Linked DNA regions of Drosophila melanogaster. The protein of the gene in region 3 purifies or fractionates together with the protein of the main gene of each other region. This does not show direct contact. Each region holds a gene or a part of one and is shown on either strand. Other genes may lie near its edges. The genes, in order: CG1371, p23, MRP and PMCA.

The links.
Region 1: the proteins of MRP (region 3) and CG1371 purify together in Drosophila melanogaster (affinity purification with mass spectrometry, with the first as the bait; one large-scale study listed by BioGRID). This does not show direct contact.
Region 2: the proteins of MRP (region 3) and p23 purify together in Drosophila melanogaster (affinity purification with mass spectrometry, with the first as the bait; one large-scale study listed by BioGRID). This does not show direct contact.
Region 4: the proteins of MRP (region 3) and PMCA purify together in Drosophila melanogaster (affinity purification with mass spectrometry, with the first as the bait; one large-scale study listed by BioGRID). This does not show direct contact.

Annotation. Positions count from the first base shown.
Region 1 is NT_033778.4:10,067,903-10,077,179, forward strand, and holds CG1371 (uncharacterized protein), read right to left. Parts: upstream 7,744-9,277; 5' UTR 7,704-7,743; coding exon 7,561-7,703; intron 7,441-7,560; coding exon 6,894-7,440; intron 6,744-6,893; coding exon 5,858-6,743; intron 5,458-5,857; coding exon 5,279-5,457; intron 5,217-5,278; coding exon 4,252-5,216; intron 4,189-4,251; coding exon 3,309-4,188; 3' UTR 3,079-3,308; downstream 1-3,078. Other genes in the region: Cdc2rk (Cdc2-related kinase), read right to left, coding at 36-413, 470-542, 604-732; CG12920 (uncharacterized protein), read left to right, coding at 1,288-1,483, 2,018-2,165, 2,227-2,577, 2,638-3,061.
Region 2 is NT_033777.3:9,674,775-9,681,458, reverse strand, and holds p23 (p23), read right to left. Parts: upstream 3,533-6,684; 5' UTR 3,390-3,532; coding exon 3,373-3,389; intron 2,898-3,372; coding exon 2,811-2,897; intron 2,740-2,810; coding exon 2,483-2,739; intron 2,417-2,482; coding exon 2,223-2,416; 3' UTR 1,801-2,222; downstream 1-1,800. Other genes in the region: nmdyn-D7, read right to left, coding at 43-742, 793-960, 1,019-1,185, 1,250-1,378; Nepl12 (Neprilysin-like 12), read right to left, coding at 3,740-4,735, 4,795-5,907. UniProt on the Drosophila melanogaster protein: Cytosolic prostaglandin synthase that catalyzes the oxidoreduction of prostaglandin endoperoxide H2 (PGH2) to prostaglandin E2 (PGE2).
Region 3 is NT_033779.5:12,716,344-12,723,426, reverse strand, and holds the start of MRP (Multidrug-Resistance like protein 1), read right to left. Parts: upstream 4,383-7,083; 5' UTR 4,187-4,382; intron 1,977-4,186; coding exon of another isoform or gene 1,865-1,976; intron 1,775-1,864; coding exon of another isoform or gene 1,706-1,774; exon of another isoform or gene 1,584-1,705; intron 1,155-1,583; exon of another isoform or gene 1,073-1,154; 5' UTR 997-1,072; coding exon 943-996; intron 869-942; coding exon 1-868. Other genes in the region: Pih1D1 (PIH1 domain containing 1), read left to right, coding at 1,706-1,774, 1,865-1,976, 5,371-7,083.
Region 4 is NC_004353.4:353,087-360,640, reverse strand, and holds the start of PMCA (plasma membrane calcium ATPase), read left to right. Parts: upstream 1-1,983; 5' UTR 1,984-2,091; intron 2,092-5,159; 5' UTR 5,160-5,174; coding exon 5,175-5,331; intron 5,332-5,415; coding exon 5,416-5,610; intron 5,611-5,674; coding exon 5,675-5,961; intron 5,962-6,079; coding exon 6,080-6,290; intron 6,291-6,662; coding exon 6,663-6,698; intron 6,699-7,554.

The DNA.
Region 1 (9,277 bases), on a different chromosome or scaffold from region 3:
CCGATATCGGGATTAAATATAGATTATCTTCTTACCAACTTTAATGCAGCCCTTGTCGGTCATCAGCAGATTGGATACCTTTAGATCCCTATGGATCATAAAGCGCGAATGGAGATATTTCAAGGCTTTAAGCACCTGCAAGGTGATGCACTTAACCTCGGACTCGGTGAAGGGCTGCGACATGTTGTCTAGCACGGAGGCTAGGTCCTGCTCGCAGAAATCCATTACCAGGAAGATGCTGTCCAAGCTTTTGCCCACCACCACCTCACGCAAGCGGACAATATTCTCATGATGGCACTGCTTTAGGATCATGATCTCGCGGAGTCCACTAATTGGCAGACCATCCTTTTCCTGATCCATGCGGACCTTCTTTAAGGCCACAATCTCATTGCTACGAGTGTCACGTGCGCGATCTGCAGGGGATTTCAGGTTAACCGAATGCGTTAAATGCATATGGAACCAAACTTACAGACAATTCCATAGCTGCCCTCGCCAACGCGGTTCAGTTTCTCGAATTCGGAGACAGGACGACAGCGGCCAAACTGAGATATTCGCATAAATCAAATGTTCTGATGAAGATTAGCTACAAGGAAACTAATTTACCAGATTCTGCTCGGGAATCGGCATGGGTGTTCCGGTGTTAAGCGACATTAGGAAGCCCTTCCGGGTAATGGGCGCCTGGGGATCCGGCGCGGGATTGGTGTCCACATCGTTTGACTTTAAGCTGGACATCCTTTAAGTAAGATGCATTTATTTACAAAACCAATAACGTCAACAAATGTTTACAATATTTAATTAGAGATGGAAGTTCTAGATCGATATATGCTCAACTTGTCCGATAGCCCGCAAGAACTTTTTTAACCGGTTCGATTTGGCGGGGTTTTACATAACTTTTGAAAACGGTTCTGGGAAAATCGCCAATTGTCAATTACCTTACATGTAGGCTCATATTTCGTAATGGATACTAATTGAACCAAAGACAAAAGTGGCTAGAAACGCGGGCACGACTTATGAAAGTGAAATTGCACTAGTTTAAAGAAATTTCAAATGCATGTCTTGGGCATTAAACTCGTCATCGCGGGCAATACGCATGTGTGAAAATCTGCGCGCAAAGCCACAACAACGACGCTTCAATTATCACTCTGAACTTGGAGCGGATCACCGATAGCCGGTGGTATATAAGCCGGCTACCCGGCTTCGAGCTGCATCATTCGGTTCTGCAGTGACCAACCAAAGCCACAGGGATACCAGCTTTTGCTCTTTACACCGCTACAACGCTAAACAATCATGCACAAGAACACCATTTGGTACGGAGCTGTGCTCCTTGTCGTCTACTTCACGCTGGTGTTTTGCGAGGAGACGAAGAACGAGGAGGCTCCGGCGCAATTGGATAACCAAGTGGAGGACACATGGGAAAATCTCGGCCGGGAGCTAATGGAGTTTGAGGGACGTACTCGACGCCATCGTCACCACATGTTCTGGTGTAAGTAATATCGGACATTAATTTAAAGAAAACAACTATAATTTTAGTTAGCTATCTTAAACTCCCAAAATGTGTAAACATCTCACCCTATCTCTGCAATTCTTAGATTAAACAGAAACATCCTATAAAAGTTACCTAACAATAATCACCACGACACTTTGCAGTACATAGATACTAAAAGATGTTATCAAAAAGCCTAATTTATATAACAATTAGCGAGCAAGTATTACAATTATTCTGATCGTTCGGAATCAACATAATCACATCTCTTGGGCGTTAACCATCCCACTTTCTTTCGAAAGTTTCCGCACAGTTCAAATCCCAAGCCAGACGCACCTCATCCAAACTGGACGATCACGAATTGCTCTCAATTAACACTTTTCACTTTCAATCTTGGGCAAAGATATTGGTTAATAAATTGTCGTGAAACCTTCTTCAAAAGTAGAAGTAGAAGTCGAACAGTGAAAGTTTTCCAAATCTGATGCAATGGAAAATTATTTAATCGTGTCGATATCATTGTTATTATCTTTACAGATCGTCACCTATGGCCCATTGCCATTGCTTACTGGATCAAGGTGAAAGTGGTGATCGTATCCTTCTTTGTGGGCAGTGCCATCTACTTGGGTCTGCGCTATTTCTGGCCCCATGCCAGGTGCAACCAGGAGATCATCCTTGATCATCCGTAAGAAGCTCTCAAAACTGCGTCCCTTACTGGTTTATTAATAATTCCATTTCTTTTTTAGTCCTTCGTCTTTCTCTCATCACGATCACATTCCCTACTCTCTGGACCACGATCACTCGGAGCACTATGATGCTCCTTCATCTTTTGACTCCGGCGCCAGTTTCGAGCCCTATTCCGGATACAGCAGCTATGCTGGATCGGACATTGTCTCTGATGTGCATGGCGACTACCATAGCGAATCTCCCTCTGGACCAAGTGGCCCATCTGGTCCCGTAGACACGCGCCGTCGCGGACGCCGTAGCGCTGCAGATAACGCCCATTTGATCCAAGATGAGCAGGAGGAAGAGCATGTGGAGATTGTGGATGAGGAAATTTCAGAGAGCGTGGCTCGCCAAATGCCCGCCGAAGAGCAGTAAGTACAGAACGTTTCTTATTCACTATATAAGGTAACATTTTCAAAATTCATCTTTAGGATTGCCGATTTTATGTTCGCCTTTTTGGGCCTGGACTCAAAGGCGTGCCGACGCCGATTTGTCTGCGAAATGGAGTTTAGATCCAAGTTGAATCCCTTGACCAGCATGGCTTTCCGCATTGTGGGTCGCGGTTTCTTTGAGAAGTACACCAATGCCAGAAATCCTATGGCCAGGGCCACCAGCTTTGGCGAGTGTGCTGCCGTCAATCCCGAGTGCATTTTCGTGGAGAACGACAACGGCGAGGAAAATCCGGAGTCGGAGGCACACCAGGAGGCTGATCAGCAACAGGAGGAGCAGGCAGTCACCGAGGAATCTGCCGCTGAGGATTCCCAGAATGAGATCAACCTCCAAGCCGAAAGGCGACGAGCCAAGCACAAGAATCGCAAGCTCAGCTCCATTGCCGAGCACATCCTGATGCAGTAGAACAGCCTTGTCTAATTAATCTATTTAATTGTATTTATTTATTTTAGCTATAAGAGTGGATAACGAACACAAATAAACTTGCCTCAATCTATGTATGGAAAGTGAAAAATTACAACGTTTTCTTAAATGCAATTCAAATTAAAAAGGGTTAAACAAAATCTCACAGAAACAAAAACCAAATGAATACCTACCGCGAATACCTCGAAATGTGACTAAATTGAACAACTAATGCGACTATCAGTCGGAACTAAATCTTCTTGGTCTTTTTCTTCTTGATGGCATTTATCTGGTCGGCCATCTGTTCAATCTCGCGCTGGTTGATTGGCTCGTTCTTGCGCACCTGTGTCTTGCTTTTCTGTCGCTGGGCGAGATCGGCGGCGACATCGTTAAGCTTGCTCCACACGAAGCTGAGGAAACTGGTGGCCAGATCCTGCTTAAAGAAGGCAATGGCCACCAAGGCGATGAGCACCAGAGCCGAAATCGAATTCTGGTTGAGATCCGCTTCGGCGGCGCGCACCTCCGGCTTGAACTCCAACTCAACGAACACGGAACCCCTGTCAGCCACAAACGTAGTCGATGGCAGCTTGTAGGTATATGTTTTATCGGAGAGGGTGGACTGCAGTTCTACCACGTAGCTCTTGCCGTCCAGAGGAATGCGAGGGAAGAAGACGGTGATACCAGGGTTCAGTCTTGCTTTAGGATTCACCGGGGTGCCCACACGTTGCGAGAACACAGGAGAATCCGAGTTTCCTTTGCGGTACATCACAATGCGCAGCGTCTTGTAGTGTTCATTGAGTGTGGCCGTCACCCTAGCAGTGATGTCTACAATCTTCAAGGGGCTAATAGCCACCAGATTTATGTCACGCACATCCTCGTTGGCCACCTTAACCGTGTGCTGGGCAGGAATAGATCGCTCTACGATTTCCTTGTCGGGAACGACGCGAACGGAGTAACTACAGCCAGGTTGCAAACCTCGGATGCGATACTGTCCATTCGCCTCGCTGGTGGCCTCCTCCGGCTGCTGGGGGCACGAATTATCGGCTGTGGCCTGAACATTAACGCCGGCGAAGGGATCGCCGTTTAGGGAGCTCACTGTGCCAAAGATCGAGTAAGCGAAACGCTTGCCACTTTAAAAATAGAGAAATGCTTCTTTATATGTATGTTGAGGAATGATCAGAAATTTTACTTACACAAGGGTAACAGAAACAGTCTCGCCATCCTTAATGTCAATCATTTTTGAGTTGGGCTCGAATTTGTACTCCTTCATCATGGGTCGCAGGTAGTACTGCGATGGCGAAAGGGAGTGGAAGTTAATAGCTCCATTATCGCCGGTGACGAGGTTCTTGCGATAGCTCTCCCCACCGCTCAGCGAAAGGAGGACTCCGCCCAATGTCTGACCAGCCTCATCCTTGACAACCACCGAAATCTCGCAGAGTTTGTGAGCACTAAACGAAGCTGTCTGGCGGTTGTAGTCGCTGAAAACGTACGACTCCTTTTCGGCCTTAAGGTCAAAAGCAAGAGACTCTTCAATTGGGCCAAACTTAAATTCTCCGGTGACGGACGTGAGTACTTCCAGGCTCTCCAACTCAGGCTGATCAGGGAAAGACAGTGTGATCTTTGCATCCTTAATGGCAGGAACAACCTTTCCGCGTAGAATCAAACCTCTGGTAGCCACAAAGTTGAAGGCAATATCTACACAATCGCTGCTGCCAACAATTTCGTGTTGCTGGGGCGCAAACAGTAGGACATCGCTCACTGGTGTAATACGAAGTACCTGTTCCGGTTTCAAATACGTGTCATAGCGGTAGGCGAACTTGCCATCTACTTTGTGGGACTCAGCAACAGGTGTGATCACCTCCTGACCCAGCGATTCAGATTCGAGCACAAGCTTAATGGAATCAGCAGTGGGTTCGGTAGACAGAACTCGAACGCCAGTCTTGTGGGCCACTGCATTAATGATTAGTGTTTGCAACTGATCTGGTTCTGGTGTAATGAATTTGCTGGGTAACGATTCATCATACGTGTGGCAGCCCTCTAGCTTAAAATCGTAGCTACCATACTTCTTCACGCAAAAGGTATTCACTCCTGACGCAATCTTCAGCGATTCAGTAGGTGCCTTTGGCTCAGAAGGTCCAGTGACGTGGGTGTATTTCATCTTAAAAGGAATGTTTACATCATTTAATATACATATGAAGTCGTTTAAAGTGTCAGACTTACCAGTGCCCGATGGCTAGAGATAATGGACACCTCGTAGCCCTTGTGTACAAATGGGGGAGCATCTTCTTCAGCAGAAGCAACGTTCAGGAACACGCGGGTCGATTCGTAGCAGAGATTTCCCTGGGGAATTGTAAGTTCATAGGGACCGGGAAGCATATCCTTAAAAACGTATTTGCCACCTACAATCCAAAACCATAAGATTGATGATAGGGTATTTTGGATGATACATGGTTAGTCGGAAGACCATCTTAATTAAAACAGAACCACCACGCCAAAGATACTTTATCTACTGTTGTAATCTTATTACTTATCAGCGGCCACTGGTAACGAAATCCGTGTCAACTAATATTCTTACCTAGTGAACTTCGTGATACTTTTTTAATTTAAATATAATAATGGTTTTGAAACTAGAAGTATTAGCACATATCCATTTCTGCTGAATAATTTTTAAACCTTCTAAGATAGGTTATCTCAAAACTGCATGTTATTTCTTGTAAGTAGGATAATTAAATTTAAACCTATATTTTCTATGGTTAAATTGCTGTACTTGTACGCATAAACTAAATAATAATTACTTACGATGTGCCCTGGCCTTCCACTTGTTCTCCGTGGGCTGACCGGTGGCATCTAAGGCCTGCAGGGTGACCTCAGCGGAAGTGCAGGTGGCGGTAGCATCAGGCAGACACTGCAGTTCGCCGCGAATCTTTGCGCGCAGCTGGGAAAAGGTTATGCCATTGACGGGTGCATCGCGAACCTCCGTCTGCTGCTGAACAGGGAAGAACTGCACTCCAGCGGCCTTGTCAGCATCCGTCGTCAGCACTTCAATGGTATATTTGCCAACAGGAAGAAAGGCGCACCAGTTTCCGGTCTCCGCGTTTGTGGAAGCCGACGAGTGGAAGGTGGAGCCGATCTTGGTAAGTCCCACATTATGTGATTTCGGCGACACTACTTTTCCGCACACCTCATAAGCAGATGGCACAATGGTGGGCAGGGAAGCTGTGTTGATCTGAGCCTTGACTTGCAGGGGAGAAAACTGCAGCTGGGAGGACTCCACTTCGATGTTGACTGTGCCTGCCTTTAAGTTTTCCAACGTATATGAGCCCTGGGCATCAGTCTCGGCCACCTTCTTTCCATTAACTTTAATAACAGCTGACTTTAGCGGTTCCCCTCCGGCGGAGGTCAGAACTCGACCAGAAACGGTGAAGCCTGTGATCTTAAATTCGTCCTTGATTTGCAGCGTATCCTTGCCCACTTCTAGTTCCAACAGCTCAGGACTCAAGTGCAGCTTCAACTTGGAATCTAGGTTGATAGCTTGCAACAGGTACTTTCCAGATGGCACGTTCTTGAAAATATACTCTCCCGATTTGTCCAACTGGGAGAAGCAGGAGGATGCGGATTCGTATGCGCTATTAACACTATTAGGCGGCGCTGGGGAGGATGTCTCACATTTTGGCACTAAAGATTGCTAAAAAGAGAATAATGATAAACGTTAATAATTAATTAAGTTAACAACTTAATTTAATTTATGTAAAGTGTATACAGCAGTTTTAAATAAATTAAACAATTTTTGTGTTCTTTCTTTTCAGAAAATGTGTTAGAAAATAACTATACTTACTCCTTTCTTCTTGTAAAGAGCCACACCCAGATTTCCAGGAAGCGGCGAGCTGGAATCAAAGCGACCAACCACATCGAATCCTGAGACTACCAAAGAGTTCGCCGGCAGCTCGGTGTTGCCGCTAACCACAACCACCTTGTGCTCCGCCTTGGAGAAGTGCCACCTTGCGTGCGATGCCTTGACCACGTAGTTACCGGGAATAATGGGCGTAAATGAGAACACTCCGTTCGCATCGCTCTTTGTGCGCCGGACTTCGCCCTGTTCAGATCGCAGCTCCACGTCTACGCCTCGGGCACCGCCGCCGGCGGCGAGAGCCACCTGACCGGTGATGCCAAAGCCCTTGAACACAAAGTTCACATCGCGACCCTGGCTGCAAACGTCGGTCTTGCCATCGAAGTTCAACTCCACCTGTTCCGGCTCGAAGCTCCAACCCGGTGGCGGAGAAATGCTGAGCAGGTAGTCGCCCTTATCATAAATCGGCAGGAAGTAATATCCGTTAGAGGGTGAGCAGTCCGTCTTGTCCTTCAGGGATCCCTGCTTGGTCAGCCTGCAGAGCGAGATGGAATTAGGTTAATCACATACGGGCCAGTTAATTTATTATTCAATTAGCGGCCACCATGCGCCACAATTCTTATCAGGTCATCCCAGAAAGGGAACTTTTACTTACAGTTTGATCTCCACCCGGGAAAAGTCAATCTCGGCGTGGCTCTTGATGAATCCACCGCAGCCGACGACTTCCACCTCGCCGGCGTTGGCATTTTGGAAAAGTTTAATTAATAAAATTACGAAAACGCCGGAAAAAAACCTCATTTTGACTACGTGCCCAGAGTGACCAGGGCTGCACCTTACAAATACGGGCAACAGTGTGGCCGTTCGTTAATGTACACACTCAGTTTGCGATAGTTACCATATAACTATAAAAATTTGAGTATTTAAAATACTGCATCCGTTAAAATAACGGTTTCAAAAGCCTTAGTATCGTTTTTATTAAATTTAAATGCACGTTACTTTTGATAAATAATACATAGCTTGCAATTTAATTAAAAATCTACAATAGTATTATTAATATTCAATATTCAAAATATTGTAGATCAGTTTGCTTTATTTATGTTTGGTTTTTCAATTTACTTTATAAACTTATATATTTTTGACAAGCAACAATACCCTTACATTTTCGATGATCAGATATAAATATTTTGAATGTTACCTCTTCACTTCATATTTCATTTTATTATATCTTTGAAGGAATCTTAACTGAGTTATCGTTAAGGATGGGCCATAAAAGAAGTGCGATAAAGTGAATACAATTATTATTAAGCGCTCGCCATTTGGCATCGACATTGAACACACTCGTCTGCTGAAACAGATAATGGCTTGTCGTATATTAATAATCGGAACCAATTTCCATCACCCCAATGCAAGATAAAGACTCACACCCGAATATACGTACATTTGTATCTATGTTTGTACATGGATGAGTGTGCGAATCAATCCACAGTAAACCGATCTGAGGCCTCAGGCCCCGAGATATTGCTGCAAAGAAATTCATTTCAAGCGTCGTTGGCGCTATTGCGGCGCATGTCTAATAAATATCATCGCCGATCGCGCGATAAACGACTAGCACATAAGGAATCCACAGTACGGTATATATGGGTCCGAACTCCCCAGTCTGATCCGATCCAAACAATGCCCAAGAGAAGCGCTACTTACTCAATGGGGGGAGAATATGTGTAATGGCATGACTGGGTGTCTGTACTGTAGCTAAGTCAATTGCCCGGCATTGACTTTGAAAAATCGCCTCGAGATCGTCTTGCTTCTTGGCCGTGCTCCATTAAGTGAGGCTGATGGTTAACCCTCTGTGCAAGCACGTGATATATCTAGATCTTACAATATCATGTACATCGACATACCAGCTCAATGCTGATATATGTACATATATGTTTGCACAGATCATTGAATCAGATTCATTAACACTGCATAAAACCAAAAAGGTCTCAGAGCTTAGATTGAAACAATTCGTCCGATTTATTCCATAATTAATTAAGCTTTTCACAACTGAATTTATATAAAACAAATGATGTAATACAAAAAAGTAAGATACAAAACACAAAAAAGTAATAGAAGCTTTTCAAAAACTATTGTATATACAAATGTACATACATATGTATATGTATATAATTTTAAATCATTGATTTACCATTTCCGAACATTGAAAATTATAAATAAAAATGTGGTCTTGCACAATGCGAAAACAGATAACGACTAATGGGTTAAGAAGTGCACCGGAAGCGTGTGCCATCCGATCCCCGCTCTTACGGCCTGAGCAGTTCTACCTGTGGTTACCTGTTTGTCGCAGACGATTAGAAACTAATTAGCTGACCAAC
Region 2 (6,684 bases), on a different chromosome or scaffold from region 3:
AAACATGCATTTAACTGAAAACAAATAAAAACTAAACTAAGATCAGTCGATTATCTTGAACATATACTGCAGCTCCAGGTTGGAGTCATCTGGCAGATCAGTGCAGTGGACGGCGTTCTGCACCTTGGACTTGCCGAACTTGGCGCGCAGCGTGTGAGGCCGCAACAGTTTGGCGATCTCCGGATCCATGGGTCCACAGAAGTTGCGGAACTCGCGATCAGTTTTCTTTTCGGGATCGGCGCAAGCAATCTCCATGCACATGCATACTCCACTGGCCAACTGAGCAACCATGGGTATATACTCGGGCACCACTCCGCGGTAGACTTCGTAGAACTCCTCGCAGTTGATTCGGGCCATTAGAATCATGCGCATGGCTGTCAACCGAAAGCCATTCGACAGGATTTCGGAAATGATGTCTCCCAGGAGACCATCCTTGATGCTGTGCGGCTTAATGATGGCAAGTGTTGTATTCTTGAATACACATTCTTTAATTATGCTGTGCCTCGCCTCAGATATGAACTTTAGGTCCATTTCCACGTCGTTGTCGTTATCAGAGTAGTAAAATCCATAACGAATCTCCTCACTTTCAAACAGCTCTTCCAAACTGGGCGACAGTTTCACACTGGGTGTTTCCGCCTCTGTGCTCTTGTACTGGGCGCAGGCCTTGATGGTCTCCACTACGTTGTCGCCGATTAGCTCCAGACTAATGGCCGGACCAGCCAGCAGCTCGTTCATAAGGACTCTGGAATTTAGAGGATAAGATGTGTTCCTTGGCATGCCATCTTTACTCACGAAGAGGAGACATCCGTCGTGTCCTTGCCGGACAGAAACTGAGTTACCATTTTGGGAGAGAACTGAACCATCATGCCCTGGTTTATGTTAATCTTGTTGTCGATCAGAGTCTTTAGGAACTTGCCCAGGTGCTTCGTCCACATATTGTTCTTGAGCAAAACGAATCCCCTGAAAGAGATGGGAATTACAGATTAGCGAGTGGATAGCTGTCGATGAAGGAACATACTTCTTGCGATATTTGGCTAGGTTTGTCCGCGTAGTGTCGTCAGCATAATCCACAATGTCAAACTGCCGGCCAAAGACATTGATCTTGGAGCCCACAAAGAAGTCGCGCTGGGTCAGCTCCGGGATCTTGGTGCGTCGCAGAAATGTGCGCTTGTTGCGCTGGTCGAACTGAGGGAAAACATGGCCTTGGTTAAATGTGTTTCTTTGAAGAACTTGTGCTACCAATCCTCACCACTTCCACGGCCTTGTCGGATACATAGTAGGTGATCAGAAAGGTGCGTATGATTCCAGCCTCTGCATGGAACCACTCGGCCACGAAGGCCAGACGCCGCTCGCTAGCCGGAATCGCAGCGGGTTTCATGGTATCGTTTTGAGGGGAATCTTATACCTTGCTTTTCCGTTCTATCGCTTGACAGCAAGTCCTTTATTTCGAGTGATAACTGTTTGTTTGCTTTGCATTTCAATTGTGCTTCTTCTTTCCCGCGTTGTCACAGCAACAGTGTTGCCAACATAACAAAATTCATTTAAGTGGGCGCAAAATTTAAAGAAAAAAATACCTATGTTAATTTTAAACCCAAATTCTAGGGGATTACCCATAAACAATTTTTAACCATTACCTATAATTTCTTTTTAAAATCGCTATCTATTCAAAGATAAAGCCTTCTTTGCGACATCTTTAAGAAGCTGGACTGCGCATTCCGAATTTAACAGTTTAGAGATTTCTAGAACATTTATAGAATGTTGTAAACTTATAAAATATTGAAAATAAAAAGCCGAATATAAGTTTTTCATTTTTTTTATTGTTAATTTCCTTTATTTACAGGAAACAAAAATAATAAACTGCAAACTGATTTTTGCAATAAATTGGTTGTAGCTTTCCTCTGGTTGTTAAATTCTAGCGTAAAACTTATGGTTTCCCTTGTCGGCGCCAAATCATCTTGTTCCTTGTGTTGCTTTTTGTTAACATCTCTCCTCTGAATACGCATAATATTCAGGTATATTAAATGTGGTTTTCTTCGATTGGAATAGTGTTTCATGTACGCATGCGTTTGTGGATGTTTTATGAGTGATTGAGTGTTTCTTCTTTTTCTTTTCTGGTGTGTATGTGAGGAGTGAGTGTTGTGATCGTGTGCTGACTTATGGTATAAGAGCCACGCCTAACGCTACGACTACGCCAAATTGCGAGACACCATCTGAGCGACCGTCTAGGCAGCTGGCTTCTTCTCCTTATCACCCTCGCCGCCCTCCTCGTCATCCTCGTCGTTCTGGGACAGACTTGGGATGTTGTCATCCGAGTCCTCCTCCTCGTCATCGACGTTGAAATCGTCGAACTTGTTGTTCCAATCGCCACCAGGGCTGTTAAGGAAATTTCCAAACATGCTGTTGTCTTTTTGGTCACCTGCAAAGTGCGTTTGTATGAGTGGGTTTGCTGGATGAGATCTTGGGGATGAGGATGTCAACTTACCCTCCTCGTCGTCGGACTCATCGCGCCACTTGGCAAAGTTGGCTTTTAGGAAATGCAACTTGGTCTTGTCCGTGGTCAGCGAGGACCAGTAGGGACCGGCCGCCTTCTTGGGTATTGTGAATTCCAGGCAGCGGCCAATGTTCTTGCTGGTCACCTTCTCGGGATCCACCTCGTGGAGGAAGTTCAGTGTGACCTCGTACTTCTTCGACGGATCCAGCACGTTTACGCCCTTGAAGGTGAAGGTTTTTTCCGTAACTCTGTTTTGGGATAAATATATGGAATTAGGATGTGCAAGGAGCATGGACATACTACATATGGGGGCATATACTTGTGTTCGATGTCCTTGCATTCGACATCGATGATGACGTAGATCAAGTCATTGCGCTGGGCCCAGGAAACTGGAGGCGGAATCAAGCTGCAATGGAGGATCAAGTTGGATAAACATAAATAAGAGCTTCATGTCGTTGTGCGAGATCCGTTGCCATGGCAACTCGCGTCGGACTTTCTGGAAGCGGGTGCACGAACTATGTAAATAGCTTCCCAGCTAGCTAGATTTGCATAAACCATAAGCCCAGGCAAAAGTCCATGCCGAAAATGCACGGCATTACCGCCAGCCGAAAACATAACCTCAAACACTGGACCCTCCGATTAGTTCCACAAATATCGCAATGCAGATGCGCACAGGACACGCCCACCGTGGACACAAACGCTTGGCCAGGCGGATGAGCGCGAGAATAAGGGTCATCCGAACGAAAATTATGTGTTTTTCACGGCCGGGAGTTCGAAAATGGACGCCGCCGCAACGACAAAGCACGCGACGCACAAAGAAGCCACAAAAAGATGGTCCGGCTATCGCCGATTGGCACTGAGATGGCCGGTTGTGGACTCACCCTGCTGCTGCCGACATTATGTTGTTGCTGTGAATTGTTGGTTTATGTTTTACGAAGTCGGAACACTTCTGACTGACAGCCTGACTTGGTTACAAAAAAAGGCAGTTTCTGTTGAACAAAATTGTCATGCACAAAATTGACATGAGAAACAGAGTTACCGAGCGCGCTGCGGAGATGTGACTAAATTTGAACGGTGCTCTGGGGTGCGAAACTTCGATAGTTGTACTCAAACCACAAATGTTAGCTTGTTACGTGTAACGTAAATTTGAAGTGTTGTGTCAAAACATTTTACATTGTCGGTAAAAAGTATTGAAATCAACTTTTATTTGGTTCAAGGAATTTATGATGATGATTATAAATCTATGATCTACCAAAGTCGGCACGTTTTGGCGCCAGGACGCATGCCGCTGCCCACGGAGCAGTTGTAGGCGTGGAAGAAGTCCTCGCTGTTGGACAAAACTCCCAGGACACGAAATTGGTCGAAGGTGTGCACATCGCTAAGACCTTTCCAGTAGTGCTCCTCCTCGTAATGGGAGCAAAATAGCTGGGCAAATCCCAGGAAGAACAACTGTTCCGGCGTGAGATCGAGACCCGGCATGGCGTCGCTTATCCTCTCCTGCCCAGGATGCTCCAGCAGTTGCTGCCTGTGACTGCGATAGGCCGTCAATGCTTGTCTTAATCCGCTATTGTCTGCGATATTCTCGTCCAGTGTAGTTTTTCCGTTGACACGCCTGCTGATCTCCGGTACCTGGTACTTGCCATAGTAGTCCATGTAGCACTCGGCGCGATCCTCTAATGCCTGTTGCGAAATTTCCGACAACAAGGACTCCATGTGACCATTGCCATCGAAATAGGAGCTGGTCGTATCGAAGCCGTGGATGAGTTCATGACCAACGATAAAACCCAATGTGCCGAATTTCAGGGAAATCGGCAGGTGGCGTTGGTATATCGGTGGTTCCACCACGCCAGCCATCACATTAATGGAGTTGTCCGGAGTGTAGTAGCCCGCTCCAACCTGCAATCCTGTCAGGATCTTCTGTGGCTTGGTGTCATTGGTCAGCTCCTGAAAATGCCGACTGCTAAATCGATTGATTTGTACAACTAGGTGCTGCAAATTAATGTTGGTCTCCGCATAGCGATCCTCGATGACTTTCAGACTGTTGATTTCCCGGATTATTCGATCCGAAAGTGCATCATCTTGGAACGAACCAATGCGTGGCTGTATTCTGGACTCCTTAAGCAGTGCCCTCGCCCTGCTCTCCGCATCCAGCCAATCGGCATCCTCCAGCGCCTTTCGCAGACTCTTTCGCAGTTCCCGCACCATTTCCGACATCTCCAGCCTCTTCGCCTCACTGAAGTTGTTCTGTAACACAAGAGTGTTGAGATTATTTGGTATTCTCATCATACGCATTCGTTACCCACAGCCATGTAGAGTTTGTTGAACAGAAACCGCATGGATTGATAAAGCGTAACCGAACAGTAGTTCCTTTGGTACCTGGGCGCCTTCAGTTTGGGATCGAATCTATAGAGCAGCTTCATGGCCAGGTAGTTGGCCACAGCCTTGCGATGTCGGGCGCATACTTTGTCCAGTTCAACGTAGTAAAAGTCGCAGAATAATTTGTTAGTGGAGTGGAGTCCACTCCACGAGATGTTATAGTAGTACTCCGATTGGGGAAACACTCGCTTAATTCGGTAGGGATCAAACACTTCGCACTGGGGCGGGATCTCGAGTGCGTCCCGCCAGAAGGCAAAGACCCCAGCGATGGCCTCCCTAATCCTGTCCTCCGGCAAGCCGAACGCCCTCAGATATCCGTGCATTCGCTCTTCGTTCAGGCGAAAGGCGCGTGTGGTATTTCTGGAAATGTTTTCCTCATGTACGATGATGTGATCGAAGCCCAGTTCGGGCAGTTTGGTGTAGGGCTCAAAGGGATACCTTAACTGGAGAGTTTCGCGGATCAGACCGTTGGCGCCATAGTTGGCCAGATGAGCACTCATGTTGATCCAGTTAAAGTTTGAGGCTTTCCAGGCGTCTCCATCCACAGCGGGAAATCCTCCAATCGATCGAATTAGACTCAAGTAAGCGGGATCCGCCGCATTGAAAGGATGGAGATTTGCTCCCAGACAAGCGTTGTAGAATCGCTGGGCCACCGCCAGTTCGCTGGATACGTTTAGAGCCTCCGCCAGATCCATTCTGCCCAGCAGTTGCTCCGTGATGTCGATCAGTGTGTAAGTCACGTCGCCCAGGTTGCTTCTACTGCCCGGTGAGTACCGATCCGGCTTTACGTTCCGATAATTTCCACAGGCATACTCGTAGAAATTCTCGCAGGGCTCTACACTTTGGTTCATATAGGATTTCATGAATTCCGCGTATTCCTGCAGTTGGTACTCTGCCGCGGATCTATTGGTCGAGCTACCATTGCTATCGGAATTTTCGGACCTGTCCACAAGGCTCCTGGCCTCGCAATCCGTCAGAACCGCAGCCACAATGACCCACAGCAGCATCAGGGAGATCAGCTTCAGTGATTCATGAAACATATGCGTATTTTATGGGAACACTTCTCAATTGGAACTTATAAAACACACTGATTTAAATCGCGAACGAAAACTGGCAGAATCCCAATAAAATCAAGAGAGCAATAATACAGAGATATAAAAAACCCTTATCAGTAGAATGTGCAACGGATTGTTGATAAGGAAGCGAGTAAGTTTTTGTTTACAATCTGTATACAAATAAGAGATATTTATTGATATTTAGTATTTACATTTTGCAAATTTAATTCCTGTTATCTGCAACGAAAGTGAAAGGAAGTGAATATCGGGTGAATAACAACAGCGGAGTAACAGGTGGTTAACAGATGATAATAATACTGTTGACTTGGTATTTTGATATTTTAACATCTTAGCTATGTTGCCTTGGTAACATGGAGTTTGTTTACAATGTTTGTTGGTTTGGTGGTTAACAGGTGTATCCATTTAGTTAACAGGTGGATAACAGGTAGTTAACAGGTGGATAAAGGGTGGATAACAGGTGGTTTACAGGCGGATAACGGGTGGAATATGAAATTCCATTGACAAAACATGTCAGTTCTGTTGTCGTGGTAACGTGGTGCCAATTTCCGAATTTTTGGTTTACATGTCATCAACAGGTGGCTAGTTAGTTGCTAATAATATCGTCGATCGACGAAACTTCTCAGATCTGTTGCCCTGGTAACATTAAGCTTTATTCAACTTTCAATTACTGTTGCCTTGGCTACTGGGAGCGTATTTCGAGTGTTTATTCGATAGGATTTTCATCTTATTCAAATCCACAGA
Region 3 (7,083 bases):
GGGGATTCTCAAAGGTCACGTTGCCATTGCTAAACTGCGCCTTGGGTTCTACGCGCGCCTTGTTCTTGTAGTTCTTGCGCACGTTCTGGTTCCAGTGGTGGGCGAAGATGGGCATGACCTCGGAGCAGCTGTCCTGCGGCCTCAGGTCCCACAGATCCTTCTCCTCCAGCGGGTTGCGATAGCCCTTGAGGGCCATTTTGTCGAACCACTGATAGGTGATGCGGGAAAGGAAACTGGCTGACAGTTCGGGAATCTCGTTCTCACCCCTCTGGTACTTGGTTTGTCTGGGCATTCCGTCCGCGAAGCAGTTCAGGATCAGCATAATGCTGGTGAAGGTGAAGAAGATAAAGAAGCTAACGAACTGATACTCCTCCCAGGAAAAGTCCTGCTCGGATGGCTGTTGCGAATTCAGAATCTTCTGGCGCTCCGCGTCCAGTCGAACTTCAGTGCGGCAGCGGGGAATCGACAGCACAGTGAGCAGGAACCAGAAGATGAACTGACATCCCGTGGTCTGCACGCCATACTTTCGATTCAGCGGGATGAATATGAAGAGCAACAGGAAGGTGGCGAACTTGATGATGGGACCCCAAACATCCAGGTCGTAGAGCGGCAGCTCAGAGTCGCCGCCCTTCTTGACCAGCGCCATAATTAGGTCCAGGGCAGTGATTACCAGCAGACCCAGATTCACCAGAGCTTTGCTCACGTTCAGCTTGTTCCACGGTATATTCCTGTCCAAACTCGCCTTCAGGTAGTAAAAGTCAAAGATCACGAACGCCCAGTAGAAGGCGCAGGGTGTCCAGACCAGCGCCGTTTGCTCAAAGCAGGGCGTAAAGTCCGGATCGTTGGTATACCATGTCTCTGTTGCGTTCTGTTCGTTGGACACACGGAAACCATACATTTACACTATGCATTCGGATTGAACACCACTGCTGATGCACTCACCCAGAACGTGGATCCGCAGAATCTGTCCATCGGCGAACTAGTGTCATCCGCCATGGTTACTCGACTGCTCGGCAACCTCCTCCACGTGCAATTGGGCTATATGCGTATGCTATATCGGGCGATGTGGTAACTGTAAAGCGGCAAGGAAATAAACGGATCTATATTTTCGGGCCAACAGCTGTTCCTTCCCAAGCCGCACAACTACAACAACCGCTAATCGTGACAGTGGGAAGTTGATTGCTAGTATTTTTCTGGTATTTCGCGGGCACAGTGGGTGTCGGATGGAAAATGAGTGTATAATTCTGCACTGCGTGTTATTTTAATTGTTTATATTGATTTAAGTGAAACTTGTAATTTTTGTACATAAATTATTAAAATACATTTGCTTGGAAAACTTAGTAGAAGCAAGTAGAAATCAATTGCATTTGCAACAGCAAAAATACAAATGAATTTCTTAAATTTGGATTAAGCTTTTAAAGTTTCATATAGAAATTCATAGCAATTATTCTCGAAAATTCTTGTCATTTACTTTTTATTAATGAGCACCCTGTACAGGGAAAACGCCTATCTAGTATTTTTAGCCTATCGCATGGCATTAAATGTTTTTCCACCGGCGTTCACACTGTCACATTAGTTTTCATTTCAATCGAGTTGACAGCTCCATTCTGGCAAATAAAATTTGCGTTTTTCGCTCGTCGCTCAGCGCAAAAATAGCATTTGCATTGGATTAACTCGTAACTGGCAATTGAAATCGTGCAGCAAAATGTCGCGTCGTTCCAATTTCATTGAGGGCAACGACAATTTTCGCGACCAGAACCTGCGCTTTGTGCGGGTAAGCAAAACTTGAGAAATTCGATGTGAGGAACTATCTGCGCCACTAAAGATGAACTTGTTTTTTTTTTTTTTCATTTTCTAAATGCAGAACGAGTTTGAGGACAATATTAACCAGTACTTTGGAGGCGCCGATCCGGAGGGCAGCGGCCCGCAGCAGAAACCGCCGCCGCGAGACTCGCTGATTGTCCAGCCGACCGCAGGTAAGTGGCGTCCATTGCAACAGCCGGAGCTTCACATGGCACAGCAATCGCTGCCGGTGGCGCGGAGAATCTAACCGGAGATTACAGCCAGCTAGTAGTAGGCATGACTCTGGGTTTATGGTCTACTTAGCACTTGTGTGTGCACAGTAATCTCTGCGAGCGCGGAACCATGTCAACCTGATAAACATCTCACGTCGACGTCGATTGCGCGTAATCGCTCGGGGTGGTACAGTGAACCCGCGATAAGGCGAACAAACGCACGCGAATGGAACACGTCATAGGACAGAAAAACCCATCCTAACGAATCTTCGACAAGACTTTAAAAACCAATTACGAATATTGAAAACATATCCGAATTACTTGTATTTAAAATTGAATCAATTGCTCTAAATTTTTTAATTAATTCCGTAAGTTAACTATAGTTTGTGCACACTTTTTGTATATTCAAATTTCCAATCTTTTAATGGTTATTAATTAGTATTTTGCACTTAACTATTGGATAATTCGTCAAAACAAAGGCAAAAAATCAATTATCCAAACAAATCAGTTTAATTCCTATGCACACTATTATTTGACAAACTATCTATCGTATTGAAACAAAAAGAGGGTTGAGCGGGTAGTTAGTACGAAGTTTTGTAATCTAGCCGTCGTTATTGTGCGCTACGGCAGTTAAGTGTTTACATGTCCAGGGCCACTTGGAGGAAGGTCTAATCGCGCCCACTTGAAACGATAGTTTATAGTCCAGCGAGATTGTACAATGCCAATGACAAATGAGCGACTAAAACGTGTTTCCCCGCCTCGAAGAAGAACTAATTTACACAGAGATACACACAACTAAAAAGAAGGAATGAGAAACTTTAAGCGAATCTTGAACGGAGCTCATAAAAGGTATTGGGCTAGTCACATTTTATGGGCGCCAAAAACTTGTTTGCCCCGTACACGCATGTGTTTTAAGCCATTTGACTTTAGATAAAATTCTAACACATCTGAAACGAGTATTTTCAGTTCGATATAATTAACGGCGAAACCTGTTCCCGCAGCGATTATATAAGCACAAAACAATCGGCAGAAAAAACCCCCTTACAAAACCTAATATTTCAATTGTACGAAATGTGTGTGTTTTGCCTTTACACCCAAGTGAAATTTCTCTTTAAAAACAAAAACGTCGACTCACGATGAGATGCTAAGCAAAATGGCATGGAGATCTCTTGGCTGCACCATAAAATCAAGGAGAAAACCTGACAATTTTCTCAGCAAAAAACGCCACTCTCTTCACAACCTGACTGACACACACGGTTTGTTTGTTCTGGATCAGATCATGCCAGCCGGCACAAATTGTTTACACCGCCAAAGAAGAGTGATTTATTTACAGAATATCAACGACACTCGACACTTGATGACTTTTATTAATAGGGAAAAAGCTGAGATAAGGCTGACTGGCTGCATTTAGCCAAGTGTGCAAACTCTGGAGAAAACAACTTCCACATAGCGAGAATGATTATACGAGCAGCTCCTTATCGGGGACCCCACAGCTGAACCTTATCGTGTGTGCTGCCTGTTGCTGTCCCCCTACTAGACTCTTCCATTGTGTTTGTCGTTGCTCCAGTTATGAATTGCACATCGTAAACCCTATATTGCTCCTAATCGCACACTTGTTTGCTCCACTTGCTGCTGATTCTGAGTCCTTGGAGCTTGATTACCATCGGACTGGGCGAGAAGCTGTCGAACCCACAGATCGTAGGCCATCTTTCAAGGCCTGTGACGTCAGTGGAACCCACGAGGCAATTAACTTCAAATTTGTTCGTACGAACAGCAGTACGACAACCTTGCGCACCACAATTTTTACACTTTTTCTGTTATCAATTAAATAATCGAGCTGCGAGCATGACAAAACACTTAACCATATCAAACTACTTTGAATGTGAATCATCGATTTCTCGTCAGTTCTTTTTTTTTTTTTTCGTATTTCTTTCGTTTGCTGAGAAATGTTTGCGCGGGATATTCTGGAGCCTTTCGGAAATTTCACAATTTCAGGCAAAGAATGTGGACACACAGAGATAGATACACAACACATAGATACGAACGCACACTGGCACACTTGTTCCGCTTTGGCGGAATCCAACAACCACATATCAACAAGGGTATCAAAAATGGACGGCGGTGGTTGTTGTTGGCGGTATCGATGCGACTGAAATGTCACTTATAATTACCTCTACGTAGAAAAAAACTCGCTGCGATTCAAACGAATCGGTTGTGGGGGATCGGAGTGAATAGAATCGAATCGAAACAAAACGAGCCGTAGCGGTTGAGGTCGGATCGCTATTTGGATTTGGATGGAGGGCAGCGTCGGCGGAGCACTTCAAAATCGACGGACAACCGGCTCGTTACGAGCAAAAAGGCAAACTGAATTCGAAGCGAGCGCTGCGAACAAACTTATTTGTTTTCCGCGCTTTCCGTGCTCAAAAAAAAAACAACAAAAATGAGATAATAGCGCCACCTCGGAGAGCGTTTAACTTGGCTCTTTTTGTGGCGCTGACTGCCTGGTGGCCGCCCGATCAATTAAAACCCCCTGCCATCAAAGCACCCGACTCTCCAATAATGCCAAGTTTGTCCAGAATAAAACCCAGCTGAAAGATACCGACTCTCTTTCCTGATTTTAAGTGCCGATTTAAACATATTTTCCTGCTCTGGTGAAATTATTCTGAACCGAAATGGACACACGACGCGACTCTTAAACGTTTTGTTGTCGCAAGAGCAACAAAAGTGGGCCGAAATGATAACGATATCAACAGTAGTCATACAATTAAGAGCATTTAATGGGTGTTTGGTTGCGAATTCTTCACGATTTTGGTATAAGCATGACCATACCTATTGATTATCAGTTTATTGTGTGTTTGATGCCATAAATGTATAATTACTGAGTAGTTTCTTAACAACTACAACTACAGGATTTGCTGCTATGCATTTCGAAAGTACACACCAATAGAATAGAATTCTGTGATAGAATTTCTAATCTAATCAATTTAGATGTTTAATTTAAAATATGAGATAGTGGCAGTGCTTAGTGTTTATAGATTGACAAAAAATCAAACATCAAACTTAGTCAGCATTTTGATAACGACTGAAAAGGCAATCAAGTAGTAATGCAATTGAAATTATCATTTTTTTTTGTGTTGTACAATTTGTTAAAGCAATTAAAGGGTGGGAAGAAATGCAAAACAAAGCAAATCTATTATAGATTTAAACTAAAATTTGTATGCATATTTTCAGTGAGCATTGTCGTCATGAGTAGATTAGATTGGAATTGGTTTGCTAAACGTGACCACATAGCTCTAACCTAAAACGTGTCTGCTTTTTTAAATTTTAAATTTCATATGTGGTACCATGAAAATAGCCAACAGCGAGCTGGACAATCGGCGCCAATTTCTCCGTGACCTGGGCGCCAGTCGGGTGTTGGCCAACGCCTTGGCGCAGCGCACCTTCAATGTGCCCAAGTTCAACCTGCGCCATTTCCAGCGCCAGAGGTTCCGCCTCAGCGTCGAGCTGGGCGACAGTCACCAGGATGTGGTGGACAAGGAGGTGCTCCAAGCCATCGAGGAAGCGGTGGCTAGCCACGACGACGTCGAGTCGCGGCCACGCACTCCGTCGCCGCCGCGGAACATTGATTGGCACAGCGCCAGGATGAATAACTCACCGGCTAATAAGGATCGATCGCGTTCTAGGAATCGTCAGAGAGAGGAAAATTTCCCAAACAACAATCGCGGAGTTGTGGAACAACGGGAGCCAATCAATAGGAATTGTGGACCCGTAAATCGCAATAATCCTGGCATGAATCCTGCTGAGTTCAATCGCAATCGTTATGCAAATGCGCAGGACTTTAATCGAAATAATCGAAATATGGACAGAAGTGAATTCAATCAAAATAATCGCAATTTCAACCGAAATGAGGGTTCACGTCCCAATCCACAGGATTTCAATCGTCCCAATAGAAATCAAAATCCACAGGATTTCAATCGTCCCAATAGAAACCAAAATCCACAGGATTTCAATCGTTCCAATAGAAATCAAAATCCACAGGATTTCAATCGATCTAATAGAAATCAAAACCCCCAGGATTTCAATCGTCCCAATAGAAATCAAAATCCACAGGATTTCAATCGCAATAATCGTAATGCCTATCCGCATGAATTCAATCGTAATATCCGAAATGATAACGAGCAGGAATTTAATCACAATCGTAATGCAGTCAATGATGAATTCAATCGCAATACTCGTAATGTTAACAACCAAGCATTCCCTCAAGGACATAACCATAACAATCGTAATGCGAATGCACAATTCAATCGCAAAACTTTTGACGAGAACCCAAACTTTAATAACCAACGTTTTCAAGGACCAAATCACCAGATCAACTATCGTGTTCAGATGCCAAACAATGATCATTCCCAAGTAAACAACAATCGCAGGCCTGGTAATCAGAACTTCGTTTCGAATCAGCAACCCAACTTGGATCGTAATGCTATAAGCGATGACGGCATTCAGCTGCCAAGAGATCGATTCCGTTCGCCTGAAGCGCATCCAAAACAACCACCATATCCACGTAATGTGAACGCTGACCAGGTTGGAAACCGTGGACCCCAAAAGAGGCACAATTATCAGCGTATTGTGAATGACAATCAAATAATACTACGTCGCACCGACTGGACTGACGAAGAAGAGGATCTAGATCTAGAACACCATGATATAGACGACTATATACCCGATGAACGCGAATTTCTTGAAGATGATGCCGATTTCATCGATGACACAAATGATACACTTATGAATGATGATCAGTATGAGGGTTACCACTCAAGGGGTAATCAACACTACATCCAAGATCATAACATCGATGATCGTAATTCATATGGACGCAATCGCAACGATCGTAACTTTGAGGGCATTAGGCGCCAGTTTGATCCAGAACTCGATCGACGCAACTTAAACGACAACTTCAATCAGCGAAACAACTATTCGCGTGGCGGTGACACCGTACGCTTTCCCCGAAGGGAGGATGACACATTCCAAGGCTCAAATAACCCTAATTTTCCACCGAACTATCCAAACA
Region 4 (7,554 bases), on a different chromosome or scaffold from region 3:
ATTGTAGACAGCTACAAATTAGGTTTGCATTTCCTTTCACGGTGCGTAGTCCATCTGGGAAATTAAAATTTAAATATATTATTACGATTTAAAGACACTTATTTAGTTCTTAGCTTCATAAATGCAAAACCTTTCAAAACAAAAACAAAGCATCCGACAAGATTTTAAAACCCACAACTATTACTTGTAGTTTAACTTCTGCGATCAAAGCACTGAATTTCCTCAAAATACAGTTTAAATCGAGTTTTTAAAGTTTGAATAAATATGTTTAAAAATGATTACCATATACTAAATATGAATGCATTAAAAACAGCTAGTACAAAGGTATGCTGATACTTAAAGGAGTATTTATATACCGAATGGCTTTGTGCTTATGTGTTTCCTTTAATTGTAAAATACTAAAAACCCAAAGGCATTCTCTATGTAATGCACAATTTATTTTGGCCTGGCAATGCTGGAACTAGACGCTTCCCTATAATGGATTAGGTCTACGCGCAAAAACTTTAACAAATCAGCCAATCAAATCTTGGAAAATAATTGATATTTGAGAGATATTTTATATGAAGTTCATATTTAAATGCTATACGACAATTTTCACTTTTAATGTTCAAAAAGACAAACACTATTAAGAATTATCAAAATTAAAAGCCGAACTGAGACCTCACACACGCAATTACTTATTAGAGGTGAACTTACAGAAGAAAAATATCGATACATAGATTGCTTAAGCTAAAATCTGAACATTGCCCACTTATTTGACCGCAAAAGCGGAAACAGTATATAAGCGTATTTTACAAAATTAGCATTCCACTATGTTTCCACTGCAGAAAAAATATTTGAAGATATTATTACTTTTTAATAGAAACTTAATAATTTTATAACAGCTCAACAGAAATGAGTTCATACGCAATGGAACACACAAATAATTTGAAGTCTAGAGAATTTTTCTTTTATAAATCTAGATAGGGATTGTTGTTACATAAGTTAAGTGAGGTTTAGTGTCGGAAATAATGTTTACTTTGACGATCATTTTCGAATTAATATTTGTGGTGCGAATATGAATCAAATCATATATAAATGATATACATACATATATGTATATACATACATATACATATATACAATAATTTCTGGACAGGTCGTTGTTTGTACTCTTCTAATTCAATCGATGCAAAGTGCAAAAGCGAAACAAGGACATGCTGGTTCTCAAAATTAATGGTCCGTAGGGTATTGAAAAGAATGAAAAAGGTTTTATACTTTTCAAGGAATTTTGTACACCCTATTACTCTACAAATAAAATATGTAGTTTTCAACGAGTTTTATGCATTATACATAATGTTTGGGTGTTTTAGAATAGAGAGTATAGAATGTTAAATGTATATATGTAAATGCTTTAACAATATTCCTATGGTATATGTAAACTCGTTCCGATTTCTTGGTTTCAGAAGTATGGACTTTATTAATAAATAATAAATTATGTATTGGCTTTTAACATGGTTTTGTTTTATGTGATAGTGCCAATCAATATATTTTTAACACAATTACATTTATATTTTCCGAGTGTAAAGAAACGTTTATGCTCTTATCTCATAAGAAGGTGATCGTCGCAGTACTAACGTAAGATAGGCAAGCAAAAGATAAGTTGATGCGACAATTCAGACAAACAGCTGGACAGCTATCTTTCAAATACTTCTCTTTAAATAACTGTGGCGCTGAGATTTTGCCGCAGTTCAGTGTAAACTTATATGTAGGCATAACCGATTTTCTAACATTTTAACTAAAAAGAAAAGTGAAGAGGTATTACGACGTAAGAGAGATATGCTACACGAACATTTGTGCTAGCGCGGCGTAATAAAATAATTTATTTTTACACTACATGTGAAAATACATCGATATTAGAATATTACAGTTTTGTGAAAACTAAGTGATTTCGATAGTAAAAGTTTGATATATCGATATATATTTCCCTGTGGAAAAATAAATACTGCTGAAAAGGAAGGCGTCACAGTGTCAGTACTTTATATTAAATATTTCGCTATATATTGTGGCGTTTAACTTGAGTCGTGTACAATTATTTCGCCTTCTAGTTGTGTACGTATTCCAAAAAAAATGCAGTTTTTAACAGTTAAACGAATGGGTACGCAAAGGAATGTAATGGGGCCAGGAAATGAACATGATATCATTTTATATTGTATGTTTTCCGAACATACGCTGTTCTCGAAATGAAATTAAAGCTGAAAGTTACTGATAGAGTAGCCCAGAATCAAATCCAAATGTGTACAATTTTCATTTGCTCGAAGGTTCATCATATTACTCCATGGTCAATATGGCCAACACCAATTCATATGTATGTATGTAGCTCTTGTCGTGACATGACGTAAGATTTCTGTTGGTGAAGAGAAGGTGGGGTGCACTTCCTTTGAACAAGTCTCGAATATTTCAATGAATTTGAATTGATTGGGTTTATAATACTTTTACCCTGAGTATGTTTATGTTTTTATTAGGAAATATAGAATCAACGGTATAGGATACATTTCCTGTGCACCTGTTCATTTACTGTGTGTTCATATCAAAAAATTCATGTGCACGTACTATGTGTGTACTATATATGTAAATTTAACATGTGCAAAAAATAGAGTGAGGCCCAGTTACCGACTAGCATGTAATTGTTGCAAAAATTTTGGCCAATGGCTCGAATATTTGTCAACTAGAACTAAAATAGATACATGTAAAATGACTTCCCTGACGTACATACATATGCGTGAATTTATTCTATTTATGGAAATCGTTCACACCTCATCAATATGAAAACTTTTAGTTTAGTACAATTGTGTAAATGAAAACAGTGTTTTTATACCCATTACTAGTAGAGTAAAAGGTATAATAGATTCGCTGAAAAGTACGTAACAGGCAGAAAAAAGCGTTTCCGACCATATAAAGTATATATATATATCCTTGATCAGGATCAATAGCCGAGTCGATCTATGAACGTATGAATCCAGATCTCAGGAACTATAAAAGATGTTTGAGATTCGGTATAAAGATTCTAAAGCCGCAGAGCAAGTTTGTTGACTCACTTTAATTTTTTCTCATTTTATTCCACACTATCTATCTATATGCCAAATTTTACGCTCGCATTTCCGCTAGCTGAGTATAGGATTCTGTCTTGTTTAATAAGTGAATCGGAAATTTAAAGAATTAATACAAATTGGATGTTAGGAACATCAAAATTGACTTGTTAGTTAATTTAAACTATTTATGTCTTTCCTTCTCGCAAGTTCTGTTCTATTACGTGATGATGAAATTTCCGAATCGATCAACTTGTTCCACTGAAGAACTCTGAAAACGCCGCAATCTTTTGAACCGAGTATCAGATTCAGAATTGAAAGCTTTCAATAAATTTCAATAAAATAAGATAACTTATGAAACAGGTATACGTTTATGTTCTTCGTAAATTTTGCATCGAATTTAAAATGTAATTTAAACTATCAGATGACCGTTACTCAGCTAGTCCAAGTGGAAATATCGGTAGAAATTGGGGAAATAAAATTTATTTTATTGCTCTAAGATGAGGACGGGATTAATTTGGGCGGTTTTTAGGGGTCAGAGTGGGCGTAGACAAAATGGTTTCGGCGTATCGATAGAAATAGCGAAAACAACTGATTTAGTCCAAAAATATTAAATCATTTCTCAAAGATAAAAATTTTTTTGGCAAATCGATTAAAATTTACAAGACCTAATAATAATATGAAATTTTAAAAAAGAGTTCGCGTGGCAGTTTTGGGTTTGTGGGCGTTAGAGTGGTCGTGCCAACATCGGTCAACAAACTTGTGTTGCGTATATGCCTCTCACAACCTTCTAGCTTTTAAAGTTTCTGAGAACAGACAGACGGGCATGGTCAGTTCGACTCTGCTACTAATCCTGATCAAAGAATATATACTTTATATGTTTGGAAACGCCTTTTGCCTGTTACATACTGTTCAACGAGAAACGGGTGTAAAAAGCTTGACTGTGTAGTCGAGATTGACTACTCAGTCAAACCATTGTGTAACTTTCTTGCTAGAATATGATATATAAATATGAATCATAAATAAAAAAATTTCTTAGGATATCTTTGTGAACTCAACTATGCCAAAGACACTAGAATATTTGACTATGCTATGCTAAAGTTTTTACATAATTCGGTCAAAATTGATTTTTAATAGTATTATGCCATTGTCTTAATCAGATTGGAAGCTTATCGTTGACAAAAATAAGATTATTTAATAACAATTTCCTGGAAAGAAACGAATCGGATCGATCTACTTTTAGCTAGATATTTATTGCATTATCTTGAACACGGCAATGCGTCACACACGTTCCTTTTTTGTATGACAACAGCTTACTAACAAGTAAATCTATTGTTTTTATAAATGATCAATAACTAAGTGCCATTTTAGCACTAAGAATTACACGTTGAAAATTGTCATGTTGTCTGGCTTCTAAAATAAGTCAATTTGAATAGAGATTTCTTAATTATATTAGTGTATGCGCAGCTCTCAGAAACTGCTCACAAAAATTGCATGGCACACTTTTATATATAGACAACTGATCCGCATTTCCCAAAAACCGCGAAGTTCGTTCAAATTGTTACGTACATATATACAGTTACGGTTTGAAAGAAATTATATGGTCAACGGATCCATTGTCAGTAGATACAAAAATAACTTTCAATTTAGTACGCAATTTAAGACTAGTGCGATTTATATATTGTATGTTGACAAACAAATTCACTAAAGCAAAGAATCCGTGAAATGAGACCACAGTTATATTTTCTTTTGCCTTCGTGTTCTACTAAATCCACATTATTTTCATTACCTTTTATCACACATAAAAATTTGGCGCCTACCGCGATCGTCGGTGTCTCGGCAGAGCGTTTTACCGTTTGTCTTGGTTATCTAGCGGTGTAGTGCTCTCGACTTTTTAATAAATTCAAATTTCAGATACTCGAAAGCAAAAAATATATACATACATAAATGGTCCATTTGCATATCTTCCTATTACTCCCTTGCGCGTTAACTAGAGAAAATATTCGTTGGGAAGTACTTTTAAAAATAAAGAAATTATCTGCGCTATCTAGATGTTAGGCTTCTGTTGAATTTATACATTTTTAAATACAGATAAGACCATAACAAATGGCCACTATAGATGGAAGACCGGCGCAATATGGAATTTCACTTAAACAACTGCGCGAGCTCATGGAGCATCGTGGTCGTGAGGGTGTAATGAAGATAGCTGAAAATGGTGGCATTCACGAACTATGTAAAAAGTTATACACATCTCCCAATGAAGGTAAGTTTTTCTCTATTTACAATATTAATGTATTTAATTTATATTGAGTTTACTTTTACAATACTTTAATTGAATTACCATAAGGCCTAAGTGGATCGAAAGCTGACGAAGAGCATAGACGTGAAACATTCGGTTCCAATGTTATACCACCGAAGCCACCAAAGACCTTTTTGACTCTAGTCTGGGAGGCTCTTCAAGATGTGACCCTTATTATATTAGAGGTAGCTGCATTAGTATCGCTTGGTCTATCATTTTATAAACCCGCCGACGAGGATGCGCGTAAGTAGTTCAGTTTTGTGGTCCGTAATAAAATATTGTCTTTTAATATTGTTTTTTTTTACAGCTGTGTTGCAGGAGGAGGAAGAACACCATGGTTGGATTGAAGGATTGGCCATTCTTATTTCTGTTATTGTCGTAGTTATAGTGACAGCATTTAATGATTACTCTAAAGAAAGACAATTTCGAGGTCTGCAAAATCGTATAGAGGGCGAGCACAAGTTTTCAGTTATTCGAGGAGGAGAGGTGTGCCAAATATCAGTTGGTGATATTCTTGTTGGCGATATTGCTCAAGTTAAATATGGAGACTTATTGCCGGCTGATGGGTGTCTTATTCAAAGTAACGACTTAAAGGTAAGTTAAGAAAAAACGTAGATATAGACTATTTTATCAGTAAAGTATTTGTGAAACAATTTGTAATATAAAGCGCGTGTCTCATTTATATTGACGGTGATAATTTTTCATTCTGTAGGTGGACGAATCTTCTCTGACTGGAGAGTCTGATCACGTCAAAAAGGGGCCAGATGTTGATCCCATGGTTTTATCCGGCACGCATGTTATGGAAGGAAGCGGCAAAATGGTTGTTACAGCCGTAGGGGTAAACTCACAAGCTGGTATAATTTTTACGCTCCTTGGTGCGGCAGTTGACGAACAAGAAGCAGAAATTAAGAAGATGAAAAAGGGTTAGTACAATTGAAATAACATAAAATAAAATTTTTTATGATTTTTAACCACGTAAATAACCACGACTCTATAAATAAGATCCTACCTATGTTGTTTTGATACATATATTTGTCGTTAGGATGTAATTTATATATTTATTTTTTATTTTCTTTTTTGTTGGTATTTTTTCATATTCCAATTGTTCACATATTCCATATGTGAATTCCATGACGTGAATCGATTGACCCATCATCTTCCATCAACCCAATCAACCAACCAACCTGTCAACCAACCAATCAAATATAACCTGCAACCTACCACAACACAACCAACCAATGTCTTCAACAAATAAAACCATAAAATATATGGTTTCAAAATGTTGTCGATCCCAGAAGCGAAAAGGGCCAACAAGCAAAAGAATCTGACAGGTGAATTTTTGCATAATACTTATTTTTATTATTTCGCAAAGCAACAAACACATATTTTTCGAGCAGAATAGTATACTGACGAAAATACAATAGGCACTTCTACTCACCACGTTTTGTTATCAATAATGATGTTTAAGAGCACTATAATTACGTTTCTATTTTGATATATTTTTAATGATTGCTTTGTATCTTTTTTCGATGATCTTTCAAAGAGAATTACAATTATTACTTTTATAACAGTATTATTATAAAAACCAGTTTTAACGGTTTTTTCGAAATTGTTTTATATAAAAATCCATTCTTGCCAAAACGATCGGCTTAAATCAATACAGACTATTGTTACAGCTAACTTTTGTTAGCCGGCGGGCCTGAAAGGGGTCACCAAGGTGACAAAGGGGTTTTCAGCTACTCCGTATGCCTTAAAAAAATACACTCTATTGCAATATTAACGCTGAAGTGACTTTAGTAACTGGTTTTAAATGATCCTTTATATACATTCTCGTTGCCCCAAATAAAACAGCTGACTATAATTTCTTCTTAAAATTCCGCATAATTCCGTATAATAGTAGGAATGGCTTTTCTCAAATAGTGTTAGCAACTTCTCAGTCATAAGTGCAGAGGAATAATTTTCGGTTTTTAAGCTTAGTACAAAACTCTCTTCATATAACGGTTGCCTTTAAATTTAAATATTTATTTCATTGACAAAAAAAAATTGTAACTCAAATTAAATTCCATACCCGTTCATCTTGTTAAAACAAGATTTTGAAGGCCATTTAAAATTAAATTTTTTTCAGACTATCTGTCTGCAATACAAAGTTATTTTACTGACTTTACATATTATTAAATAAAAATACAA